Linked DNA regions of Styela clava. The protein of the gene in region 2 purifies or fractionates together with the protein of the main gene of each other region. This does not show direct contact. Links are inferred from orthologs where the notes say so. Each region holds a gene or a part of one and is shown on either strand. Other genes may lie near its edges.

What was found.
Region 1: the proteins of partner of Y14 and mago-like (region 2) and protein mago nashi homolog purify together in Drosophila melanogaster (affinity purification with western blotting; 4 studies listed by BioGRID, with this or other methods). This does not show direct contact. The link is inferred for Styela clava from reciprocal best matches to the Drosophila melanogaster genes Pym and mago.

What each region holds. Positions count from the first base shown.
Region 1 is NC_135259.1:15,898,769-15,909,302, forward strand, and holds protein mago nashi homolog, read left to right. Parts: upstream 1-6,158; 5' UTR 6,159-6,232; coding exon 6,233-6,320; intron 6,321-6,713; coding exon 6,714-6,883; intron 6,884-7,170; coding exon 7,171-7,353; 3' UTR 7,354-7,710; downstream 7,711-10,534. Other genes in the region: ubiquitin carboxyl-terminal hydrolase 24-like, read right to left, coding at 10,295-10,342. UniProt on the Drosophila melanogaster protein: Core component of the splicing-dependent multiprotein exon junction complex (EJC) deposited at splice junctions on mRNAs. Involved in exon definition of genes containing long introns, including the rolled/MAPK gene.
Region 2 is NC_135258.1:14,692,001-14,703,443, forward strand, and holds partner of Y14 and mago-like, read right to left. Parts: upstream 5,060-11,443; 5' UTR 4,981-5,059; coding exon 4,306-4,980; 3' UTR 2,560-4,305; downstream 1-2,559. Other genes in the region: protein FAM50A-like, read right to left, coding at 68-134, 834-910, 994-1,091, 1,488-1,581, 1,839-1,923, 2,402-2,512. UniProt on the Drosophila melanogaster protein: Regulator of the exon junction complex (EJC), a multiprotein complex that associates immediately upstream of the exon-exon junction on mRNAs and serves as a positional landmark for the intron exon structure of genes and directs post-transcriptional processes in the cytoplasm such as mRNA export, nonsense-mediated mRNA decay (NMD) or translation.

The DNA.
Region 1 (10,534 bases), on a different chromosome or scaffold from region 2:
GTATAATACACTTACCACATGGCCAAATATCTCTGGTGCAAATAATTTTCCTAGTAGTTGAGTTTTTACTCCGCCGCCAAGAAGGTACATCAATCCAAAGAAAAATCTCATACAATTGATTGCAAACTTGCCCATTTTTACAGATGCACAAGGTAGACAAATAAATGCTTATAATACTATTGGGAAAATTGCATACTCTGCACTATGTAATATCTGAATAATATGGTGAATGTATAAAAATTTATATGAAAAAACTGCAGTGGGAAAAATGTAATATCATGGTGGCGAGAATTGTATATACAACATTTGAAAGTACAGAAATCTATAATATTCAAATCAAAGCTGTGTTATCACATATTAGAGTTGTTTTTATTGATATTAGAGCTGGATTCGTATTTTTAATTCCTTACAGTCAGAGTTGAAATTTTCACAGGCTCTTATTAATAGTGAAAATGGACGTCAAACTTATATGACAGAAAGTTAAAAGGCATTATGTGGACCATACATTCTTAATAACAGATAATTGAAAAGGGATTGCATTGAACTAGTTTTGTTCTATCTGAATTCAGAGCCAAAATTCCCTTCAACCTGGAGTTGGGAGACTAAATCAGATTTGTTCAACCCAAAGCCATTAGTCTATGTCGTGTTTTTTAAAGGTCAAAGGTTGTTTTACCCGAACTCCACAGCCATGCTTGAAAATCAATCAATATCCAGTCACATAAAAACACTTTGAAGATATTTTAGAATTTGTAGCACCAGAATGAAACTGCTTTCTATAACTAGCAGTCAAAAGAATGACAGATTGGAATATCCTTAATTGCAGATTTCATACTTTCGTACAGAAATTTACTTACAAAATAACGAATCAAGGACACATAATTAGCCATGCTTGGATGATAATAATAATAATAAAAATTGAAGACAAAAAATCAAAATGCTAGAAAAAGTATTCACAAAATATTCAGTGTTTTGGATATAGCTAACACAAATAGTGATTCTGTAAGATTGTCAATATAACGCAAAACAATTTTGCTCATACATGAAGTATGTTGCTACAAACTAAAATAGCGAGAAAAAACAGTGTAAAGTAAGATAGAAGAAATGTGTGTTGATTCAAATAGGTTGAAGAAATTTCATGGATTAAGCAAAACATGGACTGCTATAACGGTCAGAATATACTTGGACATGAAATGGACCTACAAATGATTGGCCAAACTGTTTCCATTACTCTTTTCAGATTTTCAGTATTTCAATTGAAATAAGTCACTAGATCTAGAAAAGACTAGAATATGAGCATTTTTATTCCTTTTTAACTTTTTTTGGTCCTATAAACCAGGCAGTTCATCCATAAATACCTAATTTGCAAGTGCAAGATTTTCTCAAGCTAAGCCTCATAATCAGTCATTTGGTCTCCATGTTTATATAATTGATTTAAGTATTGCACACTTGTCTATACTTGATCTGCCAAGCGAGGCGACGTGTTTCTAAAGTCAGTGCACAGCACAATATATTCAAATGACATGATGTACATTGACTTCTTCTTATTTTAAAGTTGGATAAAAATTGCACTATTGGAAGGAAAATAAGGCAACATAGCTTACAAGAGGTCATGGGACTCATGGCTGGCAAGAAAATTGTACTAATGGATTGAACATTTCAAAAATGCAAAATATTGGATAAAAAATATAAGAAAATGTAAAAAAATATTTCGACAATCAAATACTTCATGATTACTTAATTAACCAGGTTTGAAGAAACTGGAACACTTATTAAGTGTTAATTAGTCTATAAGTCACTGCATTACACTTTCTTTTATTTGGTATAAGTAATAAGACTCAATTTAAAAAAGCATGATTTGGAGAGAAGAAAGAGGAGCTTCATTTCCAAACCAGCATAAAAATCACTAAAAAGTAATATATATATGTATTCTAACCCTCAGCCTTCATACCAATAGGGTTCCTGCCTCACAAACATAGCAAGGATAAAAGCTCCGAATGATAAAGTAAGATTGTGCCAATAAAATTGATCCAACAAATTGAGAAGATAACAGTGACAAAGTAACACCAGTGATAGAACCATGCCAGCCAAAGGAATCAATTGTCTCGATATCAACATGAAACCTGAAAATTTTGCTTGAATTAATAATAAGTTCCATGAAAACCTGGAAAGCCTAGAGCCCAGGTTGTCTCATTGCCCAATCATACAGGTAATAATAATGGTGGTTATTTTCTTTTTGGCGGCCGTGATGCCCTAATGATTTAAGTGTTGGACTTACTAGCTATGTTGGTAATTGGTATCACAGGTTGGAAACCTCATCAATAATTATTTAATTATTAAGAGAAAATTCAAATAACAAGTGAATATACTAATTTGTGAAGATTTGTTTGTTAACAATGACCCAACTATGAAATATATTCGCTATTCTAAATATCAAACTATATTACTGAAACACATTTGAAAATTGAAATATCTAAAGAACCTAATATTATTTTCATTTTTCTTACCACAAAGCATTTCCAATGTCGCAAATATTCCTTGCATTCGCATTGGACTTATAATTTCATATAGTGGGAGAACATCATGAGCAACAGAGAAATAAACAGTCTAAAAAACCAATGAGAATTAATTATGAGTGAAAGGCGAAAACATTTCATTTATAAAATGCGTAATTGATCTCTTGGAACAGTATTATTCTAACTGGAAAATCGAAGCATCATGCATAAGTAAGAAGTTTGGGTACTAACTAATGTAGTATGTGAATCAAGATGGCGGACATCGGAATGTAGTATGCGTACCAGGTTAGGCTTAGGCCATAATTTCAGGTACAAATACTACGGAAGTCGCTTGGCTGGTCCCTGAACTCGAATAGAACTAAAATATTGAAAATTGAAATAAACTTATGGCCTAACTTTAACCTGGTGCACATACTACGTTCCGGTGTCCGCCATCTTGGTGTACATACTACAGGAGCGCTGACATGGGTGTCATTTGCTTATCGTTAATAATAAAACGTAAAGAATGCAATTATTTTCACAACAATCAAGAAAAACATTTTTCAAAGAATACAATTGAATGAATATTTCACCTATTTTACAAAGTAATCGTATATTACCATTTCATGGTACAAATCTGGTGCAAATGCCCTTCCAAATGATTTTGTTTTAACTGCACCCGTGAGCAAGTGAAGTAATCCTAAAATGAAGCTGGAATGTCCAATGGCAATTCTGTTGACTTTCTTCCAAGTTAGCATTGCTGCTAGTTTGTTTATTAGATATTAAGTAACTGTCAGTTGAATATTAGATTTGAAATATTAAATTTAGGATTCAAAAATGAGTAAATATTTTATATTCTAATTGAATATAATTTTGTTAATAAAATCTGAAAATAACTATAAATACACATTCATGCTGGTCACTCCAACGAATAAAATTCAATTACATCAAAGTAAGTACAGTAATATACAAAAGTAATGTGTAAATAATAACAATTAAAAAATTCGAGTTATGGAAAAAAAAATCTCCATATGTGTTAATTTGTCATATATTATAGCAATTTAGAATACTTTAAAAAGTTTTGGCCTTTTATATGACAGGCGTAATTGGATAAGGTTTAAAGCATGCTACATAACCTGTACCTTGCAATTTTATTTTCAAAATATTATTTCACTGTAATTTATTTTTTAATGATTTACTGCAGAATATAAAAATTTGAAATAAAGAAATTTGACTATGCATTTTCAAATGTAGTATATGTTTGCATATAAACGACATTAAAAAAAATTCTGCTAATGCACACATAAGCAAGAAACTAGACATGCTAACTTATAAGGTATACCAATAAAAAGATGTTAGTGTCCTATTTGACAGGACAGTTTATCAATGTTGAATAAAGTTCCCAAAACACTCAGTCGAGTGGAGCTAATCACGAAGTTGAGTCTCAGTGGCATTCAGTTGATGAGGCATTTAAATTTTTGATAAATGATAAATAAAATGCAATTTGAGCCGAAAGAATGAATCAAACCTGGTACGTAAACGTATATTAGAAAATATATATTATTTTGAACTGATAAAAACTTTTTTGTTCAATATTCACTATCCCATTTATTTTTACCATCCTTCCACATTAAATTGATAAAATATTCGAGTGGTTCAGATTCATGCATTTCATGTTCAGAAGTTTGTTCTGATACACATGCATCATATCCACATATTACTCTTAAATATACAAAACGGGCTAACACAGCGTAAAAAAGAAACTTTTTTTCATCATATGTGAGACTAAAATTTTTTTCAAAACCAGATAATGTAGTTTTAGCAGCATCATATGGATTTATATTAGGCGATGTCACAGTCGCATACATTGCACTCGCAATAGGAATTGCAGCTTCATATACATAATAACTAATACCCATGTCCGAAAAATCGATAATCCCTTTTACTAAATAGTTATCGACATCATTTTGCAGTTTTTTAAAAATGAAATTTTCAAGACACATATCGTTATGTATAACCCCTTTTCTTATTTGGGAAAATTCATTTTTAATACTTGAATCCTTTAATTTTTGCATAACAATAGAACAAATGTTACGTACATTTTCATCATTTACAATATTTAACCTCACATCTTCAATATGCATATTTTGTACAAGATAGTAATCATTCACACGTTTTAAAGCTGAAGGCGGGTCTTTTATTTTAAACAATTCAGCAGTCAGTTTTCCAGCACACAAACCTATTTCATGGCAAAAAGATAGAAATGATTCAGATTTAAATTTAAGGTTTTTGTATTCTAAACCAGTGACATAAGACATTAAAATTACTTTTCGAACTCCATTAGAGGTATCAATCTGACCAACATAACCCCCAGTTGTACAAGTAACTGGTTTAGGAATCTCAAATTGCAATTGAGGAATTTGTCTCAATACGTCCATGATAGCTTCAGTGAGTCTTTCTCTCTTTGAGTCATTGACATTAACTATCTTCAAGACATATTTGTCTCTATGTTCCGAATTGTGACTTAAATCAACGCATTCCAAGATATAGTTAAGGTCATCATATCCACTAATTAGTTCAACTGATAAAGCTTTATAATTATAAAAATCCAGTAATATTTTTGAGATATTTATATCAGTATTCTGCATATTCAACCTAATTTAACTAGAATCAATGATATAAAAAACAAGATGGTAATGTACAAGTATAATATTCATGAAATTGGTTCAAGTACTAGACTACAATAGCGGTCACTGCTTAAATAATGTCCAAAAAAATAGGATTTTTCATGTTTTTTTTTAAATAAAAAGAAAGACTATATGGTGCAGAATGAAATTTTTGGCAGACGTGTTTAGTTGAAATCAAACCTACTCAATTTTCAACAAGCAATTTGTATTGCAATTATATTTAATCAGTCTGATGGAATTTGTATGTATTAAATAGTAACTGACAGACTGACCAAAACAACCAGCACAAAGACATTAGGCATCGATAAGATTTTCAGAATGATGTAAAGAATGTTACAGGATGTCGTTTGACCCAAATTTGCTGAGCTCTATATCACTATACAAGTGTGCAATCTATAACATTTATAATTTTAACATTCAATGTAATAATGAAATGAATATTTGGTTGAGTAATTATTAGGCTTCTATGATTATTAGGCAAAAGATCTATCTCAAAAGATAAAACGACCTGGGACATGTTCCTAGAATTGAATATATAAGGTCAAATAACTACTGAAATATTGGTATCTTAAAATCAGTGAAACGTAGTATACCCAATGCTAACATGCGCCGAACACCACGCACAATTCCGACTAACCGCACAAAATTTAACAATCAGCAAAGTCAAATCAAGAAAGTGTCGCTATACTATACTGCTGTACTGTAATAGGAAACTAAAAACCATTCCGCGTTCAAGCGTTTAACTCCGCGACATGTTAGAAATAATACCCTAACCAAAAACACTAAATATTTGTAAAACCTAAATAATGAGTAAAATACCAAATCCTGTCAGCATTTATTAACCAAGAAATCGCCACGAAAACCCATGACGGCAACAAAATATTTTTCAACTCGCGAGCGCCAACTAATGGATTTATTTTTGAACTCATTATTTCAACGCTTCATTGAATACGATTAGTGCGACACCGCGTGTATTTTGAATTGCAGTGCTTCGCCATTTCGCATTTCAGCTTGTTGGAGCGTTTTTGTAAATTAGATAGCCTAGAGTCGAAAATGTCGAACGAATTTTATTTACGATATTACGTTGGGCATAAAGGAAAATTTGGACACGAATTTCTCGAATTTGAATTTCGTCCCGACGGTAAGAATGTTTTTTTTCTTATATCTGCCTTGTCTTTGTTGTTCACAATTATCAATAAACTCTGAAACTTGACAACTGAAAAAAAAATGTTGCAACACTGCCTTTTCTTTACTACCGTACAGTACTAGACTAATAGGAAAGGGTAATTTGACTTTTCAATAAGGTACCGGTAACTGAGATATGTCTTACACTTTACCCTGAATTTCATCACTAGCTGAATTAATCTTGTCCAAATTTAAGGAACTATCACGATAGAAATTCAGAAAGTGTGATAATATACTGATAATGCGAACGTTTCTTTGAATAAGTTTCGTGAAGTCTTTAGTCTCACTATTAGAGGTATGGTACAACAATGTACTGTTGAATAATTGCTTTTTCAATTCAACTATTCAGGCAAATTACGCTATGCCAACAATTCAAACTACAAAAATGACACAATGATCAGAAAAGAAGCTTGTGTTCATAAAGCAGTCCTTGAAGAATTAAAAAGAATCATAGAAGATTCTGAGGTTATGAAGGAAGATGACACAATGTGGCCAAACCCAGACAGAGTCGGACGTCAGGTATTGCGTCGAAAATCTTTCAAATTCATACATTTGCAATTTTAAGAAATACAAATTGGGATGCTTCCTCAATTAATTATTGGCATTCTTTTTTGTGTTGGTAATGATGACTAATCGGCAATACATTGGGAAGATTAAACCAAAGTGATTATTTGGCTGTTGAAAGAGTATTATCTGAGAAACTTCAAAAATAGTTGCAAAAGAAGGAGGTTCAGGCCAGGAAAGCATAGGCTACATGGGATAATTGAGTTCAAATGTTGTCGCTAAAATTTTTAAATTTTTTTCAGGAGCTGGAAATTGTATTGGGTGAAGATCATATTTCATTTACAACATCCAAAATAGGATCTCTGATTGACGTCAATGATTGTAAAGATTCTGATGGTCTTCGTACTTTTTATTATCTCGTCCAGGATTTAAAATGTCTTGTGTTTTCACTCATCGGACTGCACTTCAAAATTAAGCCAATCTAAATAATAGAAAGTGCTGCCTGATATGGATGAAGACCTTGGCTGGAGCAGATGTGGCAAAATTTGTCGTGGAACAATGTGGGTTTGAATTCCCACCAAATACTTTGTACTGTAGTTTCTTACTTCAGAAACGCTTTTTTATCCATTTTAAAAAAAATTCTGGTTGATATCAATTATTATATCAGCTTATGCATAAAGTCTGATCAAATGAATAATGGGACCAGTTTGATGTGTCTCATACTTCGCACAGACTATTGTCAATACCAACGACTTTTTGTTTGGAAGGTTTACACTTTCCCACTGCTTTTTTCATTAAAATGGTTGTTGAAATAAATTTTTAGATCACAAGGTTTAGCAAAAGAGTATCTATTTCAAAATCTTCCAACAAGTCTAGGAAGCTCCCGTTTAATGGATGATTGTCAGCTTTGTCACCCTAAAGATTTCATCGGTTTGGCTGGTCAGTCAGATTGTTCCTACAAAGCAGCTTATGTCACATTTTTTCAGAAATGGACTAGATTAGTTTTGAATGGAGATAGTGCCTCGTGTTCAATTTGGCTACTGCAACTAGACTTATCTTAAAATTCGATATCCTCAAAAGCAATTTGGTTCTACCGCTCTGATATATCGCTAGCATGCTTCGTTATAAGTCTGAAAAAAGTTCGTTTTGGCTCAAGTTACCAGTTGATCTCTCCAATTTCAAAGTCTGAAATTGTGACACCATTTCAAAATCTTCACTCATCGCAGGTTGAACATTACTCTGGCTCAGGCACTCAAGTCTCACACTGAGAAGCTGGTTTCAAAATTGCTTTGCAAATGACAATTTCACCCTCAAATTAGAGGTAAGATCGGGCTAAAAAATTCCAGCCCGACCCGACTCCGGCCCGTGGGTATTAAACCCGACTAATTAACTGGATTTGCAGGCCAGACCTGGGCCCGTGGGTAATAAAACCTGACCCGACCCGAGCCCGACTAATTAACTGGATTTGCAGGCCCGACCTGGGCCCGTGGGTAATAAAACCTGACCCGACCAGAGCCCGACTAATTAACTGGATTTGCAGGCCCGACCTGGGCCCGTGGGTAATAAAACCTGACCCGAGCCCGACTAATTAACTGGATTTGCAGGCCCGACCTGACCCTGGTCCGTGGGTATTAAAACCCGACCCGGGCCCGTGGGTAATAAAACCTGACCCGACCCGAGCCCGACTAATTAACTGGATTTGCAGGCCCGACCTGGGCCCGTGGGTAATAAAACCTGACCCGACCCTAGCCCGACTAATTAAATGGATTTGCAGGCCCGACCAGACTAACTAACAGGCTTTGCAGGCCCGACAAATTAACTGGATTCGCAGGCCCGAAATTTCATATTTTATTTAGGAGTTCTTCGAATTGTCATTGCAAGAGGTTAGTACAGTATTGGGGAATGCTGGGACATATTTCTTCTTTTGTGAGCTCTATAATCTGCACATTCATTTGACAATGCGGGGCTAATAGATAGAGGGTAGCTAAAGGTTTTACTGGGCAAACTAAGAAATTCCCTAGCGACACCCATATTATCATCAAGAGGCATTCAAAAACGTGTAAAATGTCCCGCTGCACTCCACTTGTGCGGCACATTAAATTAAACGAGGTATGCTGTTAAAAAGCAATGAATAAGCATCATCATCCAAAGAACTACGAAACTTTAAATTTCGAAATTTAATATTTATGAAATCGGAACCACTCTGAAAAATAGTTTCTAATAAACATATATTTACTTATAAAAAATCCAGCGATATATAAGCCCGACCCGAACGTAATGATTGTCATTTCAGGCCCGACCCGAACCTAATGATTGACAAATCAGGCCCGACGCGAACGCAATTATTGACTTTTCAGGCCCTACCCAACCTGAACGCAATGTTTGACATTTTAGGCCCGAACGTAATGATTAACAATATAGGCCCGACCCGTACGCAATGCTTGATATTTCAGGCCCGACCCGAAATATCGGGTCGGGCTCCAGATCTTAGCTCTACCTCAAATACAAACTGATTATCCCAGATTTTTCACACACCAATCAGTCTTTATAAAATTATGCATTTACTGCATTAAAAACGCAAGAGGAACTTGATAATTAAATAAGTCTCGTCTTTAGTGATTACGATATTTTCTAGTCTAATAGCACCAAATATTACAAGTTTTGCTCAAAAAGCAAACTAAATTCACAATATAGAACCAAATTTTAAAAAGCACAGAGTTATTAAAATTAGTCCAGACATCCAACTAAATACACAACAATGCAAAATCTGAGAAATAATATTCAACAAGATTGCCAATGTGGAAGTCTTTGCAAGTGAAGGGTTAATAGTGACAAGGACCGGTATGTCATCAAATACCACGCAACATATTTCTATGATTCTTCTTCTGAAGATTTCCACAAGGGCAGTGGTAATATGGCATAAATTATATATGGGCTGAAAATAACGACAGTCTACAGAATTCAACATAATGCGTTTAATCTCAATTACTTTTGCAACATGGCAGCAGCACTTTTAACGAAGGAATTTAATTAAAGAGTGAACAAAAAAAGTTAAAACAACGTTAATATTATTACAAAAGTGATCTCAATACGAATTCCTCCTCCCGTGTCTTGTAAAATAAACAGAAATGTTATCAGGCATTTGGTTGGCATGTATGAAATGAAAGAAAAGTCAGACTTATTTGCTCTTATCTGAAGAGATAAAAGAATTACATATTCTCAGAGTAAACAATGCACAAGCGATAAATTTTATCTACGCATTTTAAACTGCAAACCGTATGCGTTACAGATATATTCAGTACCGCAAATTTTAGAAATGCAGTTACAAATTTATTGTTGACGTTTCGTTTTTTAATAGTTGGCGAGCTGCAGATAATGAGTAAGTTGACTGACATCGATATTTTCATTGGTAATCATTGTGGAAATTCACAACGTATCAACTTCTATCTCATTGTCTTCTGGTACATCAGAAACCTGAAAATCAATGTAAAATATGATTATTGAATCAAAATTCAACAATACCTTGAAAGAGCATTTCTATCCAAACCTAATGCACATTTGTTACAATTTCAAATCTCTGAAGACTAGCTGTGCAAGACGAGATCAGATGTCATGATTGGATCCTACTTCTGTTACCATTCTTCCGTTGTTTCTTCCAAGTGTCAA
Region 2 (11,443 bases):
AAAATAATTATCGAAAATGAATAATCAGTCCAATAAACAATGATCAGATCTATTAGATATCACAAACTTTTAATTGTTTCTTGTTTTTCTTGCCATTCCTGCCTTAATTCTTCTCGTAATCTGTTTTCAGCGGCCTAGACAAAGAAAAACTTTAGTATGTTTTGTTTTCAGTGCGGTTTAGGAGTAGAACAAGGTCAGCATGAAATGGGAATTGAGATTTCACTTTACCATATCTCATTTCCCAGTAGCAGAGGAATAAGGACAGAAGAAATACTTTGTGTTTCATGCAGTTTAAATAATATTGTTTAGTTAATACTTCTTTTACAATACAATTTTATGGACACATTATAAATTATACAAAAGCCAGAGTGCAAGTCGCGGGTAACACATGCTAAGAATCTTTTAAACATTGACCCAAATAACGGTACAAATGTATAATGAGAGAAGAGTGAAGAGACCCAAAAGAGTATATCGAAAAAGGCTGAGAACCTCTGATTTAACCCATACCTGTGACCTAATAGTTTTGTATTTGTTTATAAATAAATATTTATCCCACATTTATGACAAAATGTGGATTGAACGAGTTGATTCCAAAAAATAGTACTTCCTTATCTATACAGTTACCGTACCTCTGCTTGTACAGAGCCATGTTCAGAGTGGAAGCCTTTAATAAGCATTGTATAAAAAATTGAAATTGAGAACAGAATGATTTGGATGAGTGTCATTGACTATTATACAATACATATTATCATGCTCAATTAAGACAAGATCCAAATATTGTCCGTTGGTGAAAAAGTGGAAAAAAGGAAACAAATTTCAGTGAATGTGCTTACCTCTCTGTCTCGATCAGGTAGAAAACTAGTATCAACGTCTGGATTTTTCTTAGGTTTTTTCTTAATTGCTATTTCTTCTGTATAAAGTGAAAAAGTGATTTTATCTTGTGACAGCTCAGAACAAGACTCTTAAACTAGCAACGACAGAAGAAATACATACCTTCCTCCTCCTCTTCCTCATCTTCTGGATCAAATGATAGAGTCGATTTTTGAATCTGTTTTTCCGCTTTCCGTTTTTTCTCTTTTTCTTTCTTTTTTCTGAAGAGCAATAAATTACCGGTACATTTATTACTACGTAATTTGGAGACAGCAGGTTCAAATCTTGGTTTCCCAACTATCTCAGTTTGGGCGTTATCATAATCAATTTAATTGGGTATGCTTAACTGAATGAATAATAGTTGTCTTCTCAAATCTTGATGTTTTTGAGGAATAAGTGGTTATCTTATCCAAGTGGCTATCTTATCTAGAGACTAGGAAGTGTGAAACACCACAAATATTTCAATACTTGTCAGAAGACATTTTTCCTGATTTCCGGAATTATGTTCGTAGTAAAATTTTCTATCTTAGAATGATTGTATTAAAAGAAACAACAGCGTGTTTCTTGTTGATACACACATTGAGAAATATATCAGAGAAAACAAAATCTGAACTTACAATCTTGCTTCTTCATTTGAAGTTGCAATTTGTTTTTCCCTTTCTTTTACAAGAAGATCTTGTCTTGCTTTCATTTCAGTCAGTGTTACAAGACCTATAAAAAAATGGCTTGATAACTTTTCAAGTTGTAATATTTTAAAAATTGGCCACAAGCAGTAAATAGCAGCAAATGGCCATACCAATAGAGCAGTGCTTCTCAAACTTTTTTGCTTGCATGTGCTTTGAGAAACATGTGTATACTGATCATTTAATTTAATAATGTTAATTTAATAAAGTGGGGGTTACCAATATTTAAGCTATCCCTGTTCAAAATCTGAGATGTCAATTTTAGAAAAAGTCAAAAAAACTCACCAATTGTACTGGACTTGAGTTCTGCTTCGACTGCATCATAATGGGCAGAAAATTTATTATGTATGTTTGATTTGATTGCATTTTCCTGAAACGAAATAAAGAAGTTGACATAACACAATAAATACAATCAGAATCTATAAACTATTTGTTCCATCTTTCCCTGGTATATAAGATCTTCCACAATGCAATTGATTAATTATTAATATAGATTATAGCAAGTGTGTTTTAAAGCACAAAGTGTCAAGCACCAAGAATATATCATATGCTAAATTTAAGTTTGTAAGATTTCAACATAAAACATAATTTTGACGCGAAAACATTGATTATAACAAAAAACTATCTGGAGATGTCTAAACATGTTGAAGTTGCAGGGTAATGATCTCGCATTCACCCCCCCCCCCAACTAATCCAGGACAACGGCTAATGAATATTCAGTTTATTCTAAAATAAAGTAGGTCCCCCCACTGAACGCTGCTTGTAAAACGTAATATTCTGAGAGAAAGCATGAAAACGCATAATAAGAAAAATACTTCAACAAGTGCGAATGATGACACTTTACTTACATTAACAATCTTTGCTCTCATGAGTTCTAATTTTTCCTTTTCTTTATCTCTTTTTTTCTGCATATGCATTGCCCGTGTACCTTCACTTGCTGCTCCTTTGTATTGCGCCATGTTTTTGTTGGATAAATTAACAAAGATTGAATTTACTAGATCAAATCTCTGTAAAATAAGGCTATCAAATGATAATAACTCATATTTATTAATGATTGCTGGAATTGAGAGCCATGACAATCAACCAAACAAATAGCGAAAATCGTATCACACCATACTAACAAGTCTAAAAGTATTGTAATTCCCCAAAAGATCATTTCTGAACAATACAAACAAAGAACTCTCAGCCAAGCTGTCAGTTTGCCTATGTTGTTAAATAAATTTTGTGTGTCAAAATATGAATAAGTAACAAAAATAATATATTGATGATTAAAAAGTAACTATTACAAAAATAAACAAATCATTCTCATAGATCGAATGTCTGTCTCCAATATTTTTTCCATGAAAATTTACTCAAAGCAAGGTCGCAGACACTCACGCAGAAGTATAAACTGACCTTTATATAGAATTATTGGTACATTATTTGGTAGTAAGTAATGATTGAAACGAGGCTTGAGTTAAAATATTACAATACAGTTGAAAAATCAGTTTTAAAAAAGTTCCTGGAAAATACAGTAGTATGTCATTTAAGGATTCTTATCTGAAATCAATTTTAATTCATACTTTTTACATTAATTTACTTTGTAAGATTACGCAAAAAAAATTAATAAATAATAAATTTTGGAAATTGTATTTCAAATTTGGAAGATTGAACTTTTATATATTTCATATACAATTTGAATACATTTCATATACAGTTTCATCTTTAATTTTCAAATATCACTTACTTTGTGTATTCAAATTTGTAACTCAACTTTTTTAAACTGTCAAAAATGTCTTAATGTAATTAGGAAGTATTTAATCTTGTATAGTGTAAAATATTGGACAGCCCAATCAATCAAGATTTTCAATTTATATGTCTGATGTAGTATACAGATTCTAAGTTTTAAAATCTAGACAGTTCCAAATAAAGAATTTCATCAGTTTGAATTGTATGGAGGTGAAAGAGAGCAAAAAATAATAGCATACTGAGATGGATAGAATATACTAAGAAACACACATTACAGGGAAACTTCCAAACATAATGCACAAATGCTTGCTGGAAAAAAGATGATAATTTTTTTTCTACCGAATTCATTAAGGATATAAAGACTGCACAGTTTTAAACTCCATTTTTTCTTCTTAGGTCAGATGACAAGCAGGCTTATACCCAATATCTTTAACATACCATCTCAACAAAGTTTAATGATAATATATAAAGTTAACAACTCCTTTGTTTTTTCTTCCTGGGTCAAATGATGGTCATGCAACACCAATGGAGTCTTCAATATGTAATGCCAACATACGTGCGTTTAGACCAGAGGTGTGCAACAGGTGCGACGTGGGCCACAACTGAGACCGCTGAGCATTTTAATGTAACTCTTGTCAACATTTAAACTATTTCCCGTTAAGCATGAAATTATAATCCGACTGTTATTGTTTTAAAAGTCACTAAGATGAGTAAAGATAGAAGTTTTTTTGCTTTTTTCGCTGCACTAAATTTTTTGCTGTTTTTCTCGATGCCTTTCATTACTGCAGGGCTAAGCGATAGTCGCATTCTCTTGTTTTCGTGTGGCCCAGTTAGATTAGATGTTGGTTATGTGGCCCACCGACAAAAATGTTGCACACCCCTGGGTTAGATTAATGCAATAACCAATATGACATTTGGATATTATGGGATACCAATATCATTTTTTATATATCAATGCTAAATTGCAGAACATGTTTCGAACAAATTCAATGCAGCGTCACTAAAATGGGAACCTATAGCAATTCTAAGAACCTTTTTCTAATTCCCATAGTTCTGCTTCGAGACCATCTTGTTTAGCAATTTTTTCAAGTTGCATTTTATCAGGATTCTCTATTACCCCAGAGTCTATTTTTTCTTTGAGTTCTTGAATTTGTCTAAGTTTCTTTTTTAGGTTTTTAATTTTTTTCGCACTGTCGTCATCTTGACTTTGACTGATATCATTAATTGCAACAGAAGCAAGTTTTTCATTTATACTTTTAGTACCATCTGTAACATTTTCCGTTTTAACCGTTTCATATTGCGCAATAACAGAAGCTTTCGTCATCTCGTTTTGCTTCTTCTGACGTTGTTCTTTACGTTTCAAGTTCTTTTTCGCTGATTTGGATAAATTTTTATTATCTGCAGAAGCACTTTCAATTGGAGAACTGAGTTTTTCTAAAGTCGTTCGTTCAGTCGATTTTATCATGGAAACAGGATTGGGATTGGAAGATAAGCCGGGGCATGCTGGAGCATTCGCTCGGTTTCTTGCTGCTCTGTTTTTGTACCGAGCTACGTCTTCATCAGGGACATAACCATCTTTCACTCGTCTTGCTTTTCTCCATGAACCATCTGGACGTTGAGTTGCAGGAATGAATGCAAATCCTTGTGCATCACGCACAATTCCTGCAGCTTGTGATACTTCAAATTTTTGTTCCGCCATCGCTGCTGTCTGATTGCTTGATTATTATTAGATTATACAGAGCGCCTATGCTATATTCAATAATGAGAAAGTTAATGAAACAGTAATAGGAATCCCAAATTCAACAATCAATCTTAATATCATGAGTGTTACTGTTAAGTATTCGGACTCGTACCTCTAGTCAGTCTAGTGGGCGTAGCATAACGATTTTTGTGTCATGTTAATCCTAACCCCCACCTGACTCCGCCATCAAAAAATTACGTCACTACTCTAGGCCCAAGTAGGATAGGATTTACATATTTATCCCGGGGGAGAGGAAAGTCCATAAGATGGCTTGACCATGTAGCGAACCACGGCATCTCGTCCGGTTACCATTCCATGACGGGTATGGGATTAGTTAGTTATTTGTTTTCAGAAGCATGGACTTGATGGTGGAGGAAGCCGTAATCCCAGGGGTTACGTGAACCACCCTACAGCGGCGAGGAGTCCAGCAATACTCTCGCACATGACCCCCACATGGGATTAGAACAGTGGTTCTTAAACTTTTTCGAGCGCGACCCAAATCTGAGTTTTATGAATACTCGCGACCCAATCCTAAAAAACGCAAAATGTGTTTTTAATGTTAGTACAGTTTGACTCAAATACAGACAACTATTTATCAGAAACAGTCCATTGACTCAGTGAGATTGATGAAACTGAAATTTACTTTTTCATTATATCTTCAATACACAGCTCTAATTTACTTAACGCAATGCGCAAGTTGTCACGGGTATCGAAGCGATTGCGAGCTTAGTTTTGATAACCGTCAGTGCCAAATATCCTCGCTCGCACAAGTGCCTTGTCGGGAATTGTAGCAGAAAAGGCGTCCGCTGTCCGTCGCAAACACGACATCCTAGCTGGCCTTCGGTATCTCTCGCAATATACAACTTTTTACTCGTCACATGTGCACGCACTGCTTCGTTCGCGGTAAATGGTGCCTCGAGATGAAGTCACATTTTCTCTAGATATTGAATAATCTAATGTCGAGAAGCGAGCTTTTTCATTGCGTCGTCTATTACAATTTTCATTACCAAAATGACACCCATTTTTGGTTATTTTAATCCACTAAGACGACATTCCATGCGGTCAACACAACGACAAGCGACGTGCATGGTTACCGATGCCATAAAAATAATACACGTGACTGGCATATCAGAATTGTGATGTAACAATGAGCTCAAGACAGTTCTTTCCGTGAATGAAATTTTTTATTTCATTATTTTTAAATACCAGAGTTTAGAAGCTGAATTGAAACATTGGGAAAGCTGAAAATTCGTCCTTCTCCTCTTAGATTGCCCTTGCATTGACGACCTTGTCGCGACCCATTTTTAAACCTTCCGCGACCCATGTTTGGGTCGCGACCCATACTTTAAGAACCACTGGATTAGAACCTGCGAACCCACGTAAAGTAATTAGAGATGCGGTGGCGAGCGTATTCCTAACGCTTAGCACAATGAGCCACACCGCACTGGAAAGGACATTAGACAATTACCCAATATTTATGGAAGAAATTTTTTCTCTCTGCAATCTCCGAATACCAAATACACTAATATTGAATAATACAAAGAAACAATATACTTTCTGACTTTATGGCCCTTGCCTTGTTTTACAAGGTTTGTGTTTATTGTATAATATTGTATAGACTATATATTGGCTATATACCGATATATATACTGATATAATATGTACATAATATTTCTCATGTTTTGAACTTTTTTAAAGATTTTGCTCGCTTTCTCCTTTTATTTATTTGAGTCTTCAAATAAATCAATCTATCTATTGAAGATCCTGTAAGTCAGTAAGTAGGCTAAATAGAAAATTCAGACATTGAATTTTCATATTTTACTGTAATTGTTTTTTTTGTATCGAAATAGCGATACTACTAACACACTTCAGCACTTAGACTAGTTGACACACAGCATACCGGTAGTTACGGTATGCTTGTGATATAATGAGTGATTTATTATCTTTGGTATTTATAATTTATAAGCAAGTTATGTGACTACGTCTACTGGTCTACATGCAGACATGAACTGCACTTCACTTCTTTGCCACTAGAAAAACAATGCAAAATACCATTTTTCGCCAAAATAATCCAAATATATTTAAATGAATGCTAAAATAATCTAGAAAATATTCTATCATCTAAATGGGTATTTATTACATTTAAATTATATATATATTTTTTTTTATGATTCCACAATGTGGATTATGCAATAAATAAAAATCATAATATAATAAACGAATAACAATAATCAGGTATAAATTATACGTAAATTATCTCTCACAAGGCAACACTGAAACAGGGTAAGAAATGGAATGGTTGGCTCCATGACCTTCAACCCCAAGAAAATACCCATTTGCGAGATTGTTGTATGAATCTTATTTCGATTCATTCACAAAAATAAAACAATTTACAGAAAATAAAAAGGGAAAAATAATGAAAAAACAAACAAACTAAATATGAGTTCAGGACTTATTGAACGCGTGCATCCACTAAAAGAGAAGGAAAACAAATAAACATGAATATGGGCGACGGGTCATTATTCAGGGGTCTCCCTTCGTTATCAGATTAGCTGCAATTTGCTCACAAACCCAACACCGTGCAAAATAGCCGTTGCGTGTGTGATAACCAACGACTAACAGGTGATAACTGATTAGTGAGATGTGCAAGTATATGAATATGGAAAATTTATTTCCAAATTTAAAGGTACAATTATATATCGGCGTTCCATGTTTAAAAATAAAGAAAACTGTCGAGTGATTGTCATATTATTGTCTAAAACTTCCATTGCGAGTTGTCAATTATTACGTCTAGGCATTCAAACTTCTGCATATTCACCGAAGGCATGAATCACGTACTTTAGGACTTTAGGTGACTGTTTAGTCACACAAAAGCTCAGTACTATACTGTATAAAGATGTTGCGGTTGCGCTTATCAGGTTTTGCAATAACCGCATGACAAATGACTTTAGTAATTTCTTATTGCTTCAGACAAATAGTTGAGCAAATAAAAATTATCACATCAAAAAAAAACCTTGTACCATTTTTCCAAAACCGGTTCTTGCATCGAATGAAGTACTATATAAAGAATCGAGGTGAATTCATCTGATGGCAAAATGCCGAAGCAACGAAAAGAGCGTAGCCAAGCCAAGAATTGGGGAGGAGGGCAATGATTTTTCAGGACGAAGTTGACTCGCGCCTTTCTCTCTAAACAGGAACAAGGACAAGCAGCCACTGATATCTGACGATATTCTTGAAAAAGCTCTCCAAAGACGTATTTTGTTGTCAAGGTCTCCAAGCTTTTCAAGCGCTCAATTTCATCTAGCTCGGTTGGTTTATTTGGGGAAATAATTATTAGTGAGCCAAAAAATGTCGGGTTATCAGTCTCACGGATGGAGCATAATATTGCCAAAAAAAAACGTAAAAGTTTGTATCTTACTGCAAATGCCAAAATACAATATCGACAACCAGAACGCCGCGGGCAGAGCGTTAGCAGTAAGGCAGGGGTCGGCAACCTACGGCCCGCGGAGTAATATAATCCGGCCCGCGACGCTTGACTGAATTATAGTAACAAAACATCTGTTTTGACGATTTTATTTTTACGTAACTGAATTTATTGTGCGATACGTGCAGACTAAATTATATATATTATAACCTAACAAGTATATAATTCACAATTACTCGTTTAATGAGCCTATACTTTAATTATAATTAGACAAATGGCAACAAAACGCAGAAAAGTTGATGCTAAGTACAGAGGGTTCTTCAATGGCGAAGAAATTATTCAAATGGCATTTTTTGAGAAGCAATGCAATGAGGAAATAAATATACAGTATATATATATATATATATTCCATTCGAGAGATGTATCGCTGCGTGATTTTTGTTATAAAAAGTGTCTTCTTCATAGTAAACTATATCCAAATTTGACAAACCATTCGAAAAAATTCACATCGATGTTTGGAAGTACATATGGATGCGAACAACTATTTTTGAAAATTAACATCAGAAATAACAATCTGAGAACTCGGATTAGTGATTCCCATTTATAAAATGTTTCAATCTTGGCTTCATCCAGTGTCCCATTTAGAAAAGCGTGATGCAACATAAAGTGTCACATTAAATGTCATTTGTAATTTTTTTCTTCAAGTGAGACGACCAAGTTGAGTTCACGAGTTGGTGCAGTCTTCGCGCGCTGCTTAAATTTAACTTCTGATCTGTGTGGAAAAGTATGATTCATCGACCATTCGTTCGGTTTTTATCTTTCTAAAAATATGTGCGGCCCGCTAATGACTTACAACTCTTAATTTTGGCTAGCGAGTGACAAAAAGTTGCCGACCCCTGCCGGAAGGCAAAGGCAAGAGAAGAGAATGCTTTCGCTTAGCCTCAACCCACAGCAATAAAGGTACTGGGCAAAGCGGCGGAAGATTTGACGCAGCGAAAAGTGCAAAAACATTATGTGTTTTTACCCATGTGAGCCGCTTGTTAAACATAAACTGTCAGATTAGGATTTTATCTTTGATGTGGAAAACTATGTTAACAAGTGCCACACTGAATCTAGTTGTGGATGGTGGAACAGGTACATCTTTATTTTTTATTAACTTTTATTTTTTATTAGTTTTTATTTTTTATCAACTACCAGTATGTAATTTTTCATGTTCCCTTTACTTAATAACTTCTATATGGTTGTGTGTGTGAGCGTGTGTGAAATATTTCAATTATTTTAGGTGAGTGAATACGTACCACATCTTCTTGGCAAAACCTTCCATCTTATATACATTCTGTACGTTTTAAACCTTATCTAAGGTTTTGTTCGCTCTCCTAATTTCATAATCAGTTTTTATTTATTTATTTTTACCATTCATTTTATTGTTTTGCTGATTATGGAGTCGAAATAAACTTATACTTATAACAGAGGCAGAAAAGATGGGACCACTGCACCTGTTGGAATAGTAGTTGTTCGTGGAAATTTGAAATTAATGTTGAAAGCATTGAAACGGATACAATGATTTTGAATTGAACTAATCGAAAACGGCAAAAGAACCCGATACCCCAATCCATGATTTGTGCATAGACTGCTATGAAACATTCAATCTATTTATCGAGCTTGTTTTTTCAGTAACCATTTTTTTGTCACTGTGTTATTTTTGTAAGATTTAATGAAATTGAACTAGGCCTACAGCATCACCGTTTTACGTCAGCGAGTGTGTATTATTTCAAAGTTTTGTAGGAAAAGCACTGTTGTGTTACACACACACGTCTCACATTTTAAATTCAATTTTAAAGTATTGCCCGATTTTATATCGTGTTTTTGTTTTATTGTGTTTTGACTGTTTTTCGTGAACGGGCCCTAAACACGTTACTTTAACACGAGTTTAACTTCTTTATTAAGTTATGCGTGTCCTCTGTATTTTGTTTGTTCGTTTGTTGTTGTTTTGTTTTTCGTTTCTATCAGAGTGACCAAATAAAATTGATTGATTGACTAAACAGCTTGCCCGCGGGCCGCCTGTTGCACACGGCTGTTCTCATTCTTTTAAATTGTATCTAGTCGTTCCTGCCTTCTCTCAGTTAGTTCCTAACACATATTATTTTATGTTTTTGCGCTATATATCAATTTTCCCAACAACTTTTATACGAATACGGAACACGGAATTTAAATCCCAAGTTTCATTGCGTCATTGCTGTGGCGCGAACTTCAAATTTGTTAGTCAACAGGAGAGAGTATGACGAACAGTGAGCGGCCCTCATATTCTTTTTTATAATAATAAGTATAAGTATAAGTTTATTTCGACTCCATAATCAGCATATATTATTGTTCTTCTTTCATAGCTGAATTCTTCGAGACTTCTATGATCGGATATTACTATACTGTACCGTAAATGGTATACAATTGTATGATATTCGGTTCTTTAGCAAAATATGGTAGCTGGTAACGTTAGGTCTATGCCAGCTATGACGATGAGGAAGGCTGAATAGGTTATCACGATTTATTTGTATCCTAGGCTATTTATTAGTTACCGTACCGTACTGCCCGAACCAGGTACAGTGCAGTGGTTTGGCATCATACCGGTACGGTACATCTTTAACTGAAATACATCAAGTCTGTACCATATTTGCAACTTTCTACAGTTCTATGTAATCATAATAATTTCGTTCACCACGTACTGGGAGAGGAAAACCCATAGTCTGATAGTGCATTAGTGAGTTAGGCAACTTAATCATACACTACTGGTACCGGTATCTGACTATACCCGTAAACTACAGCTAGACCATAACTTATAAACTAGCTGTAGTTAACACAGTTACAGTGTCACTCCTATTCTGCAATTACAGAATTGAAGTTTCGATTGGGTATGATTAAAAGTTAGTCTACTTCCTGACTTAATAAAATACTCATACGAGTCATATTGCTGTAGGCCATTTGTATTCTTTTTGCTAGTAC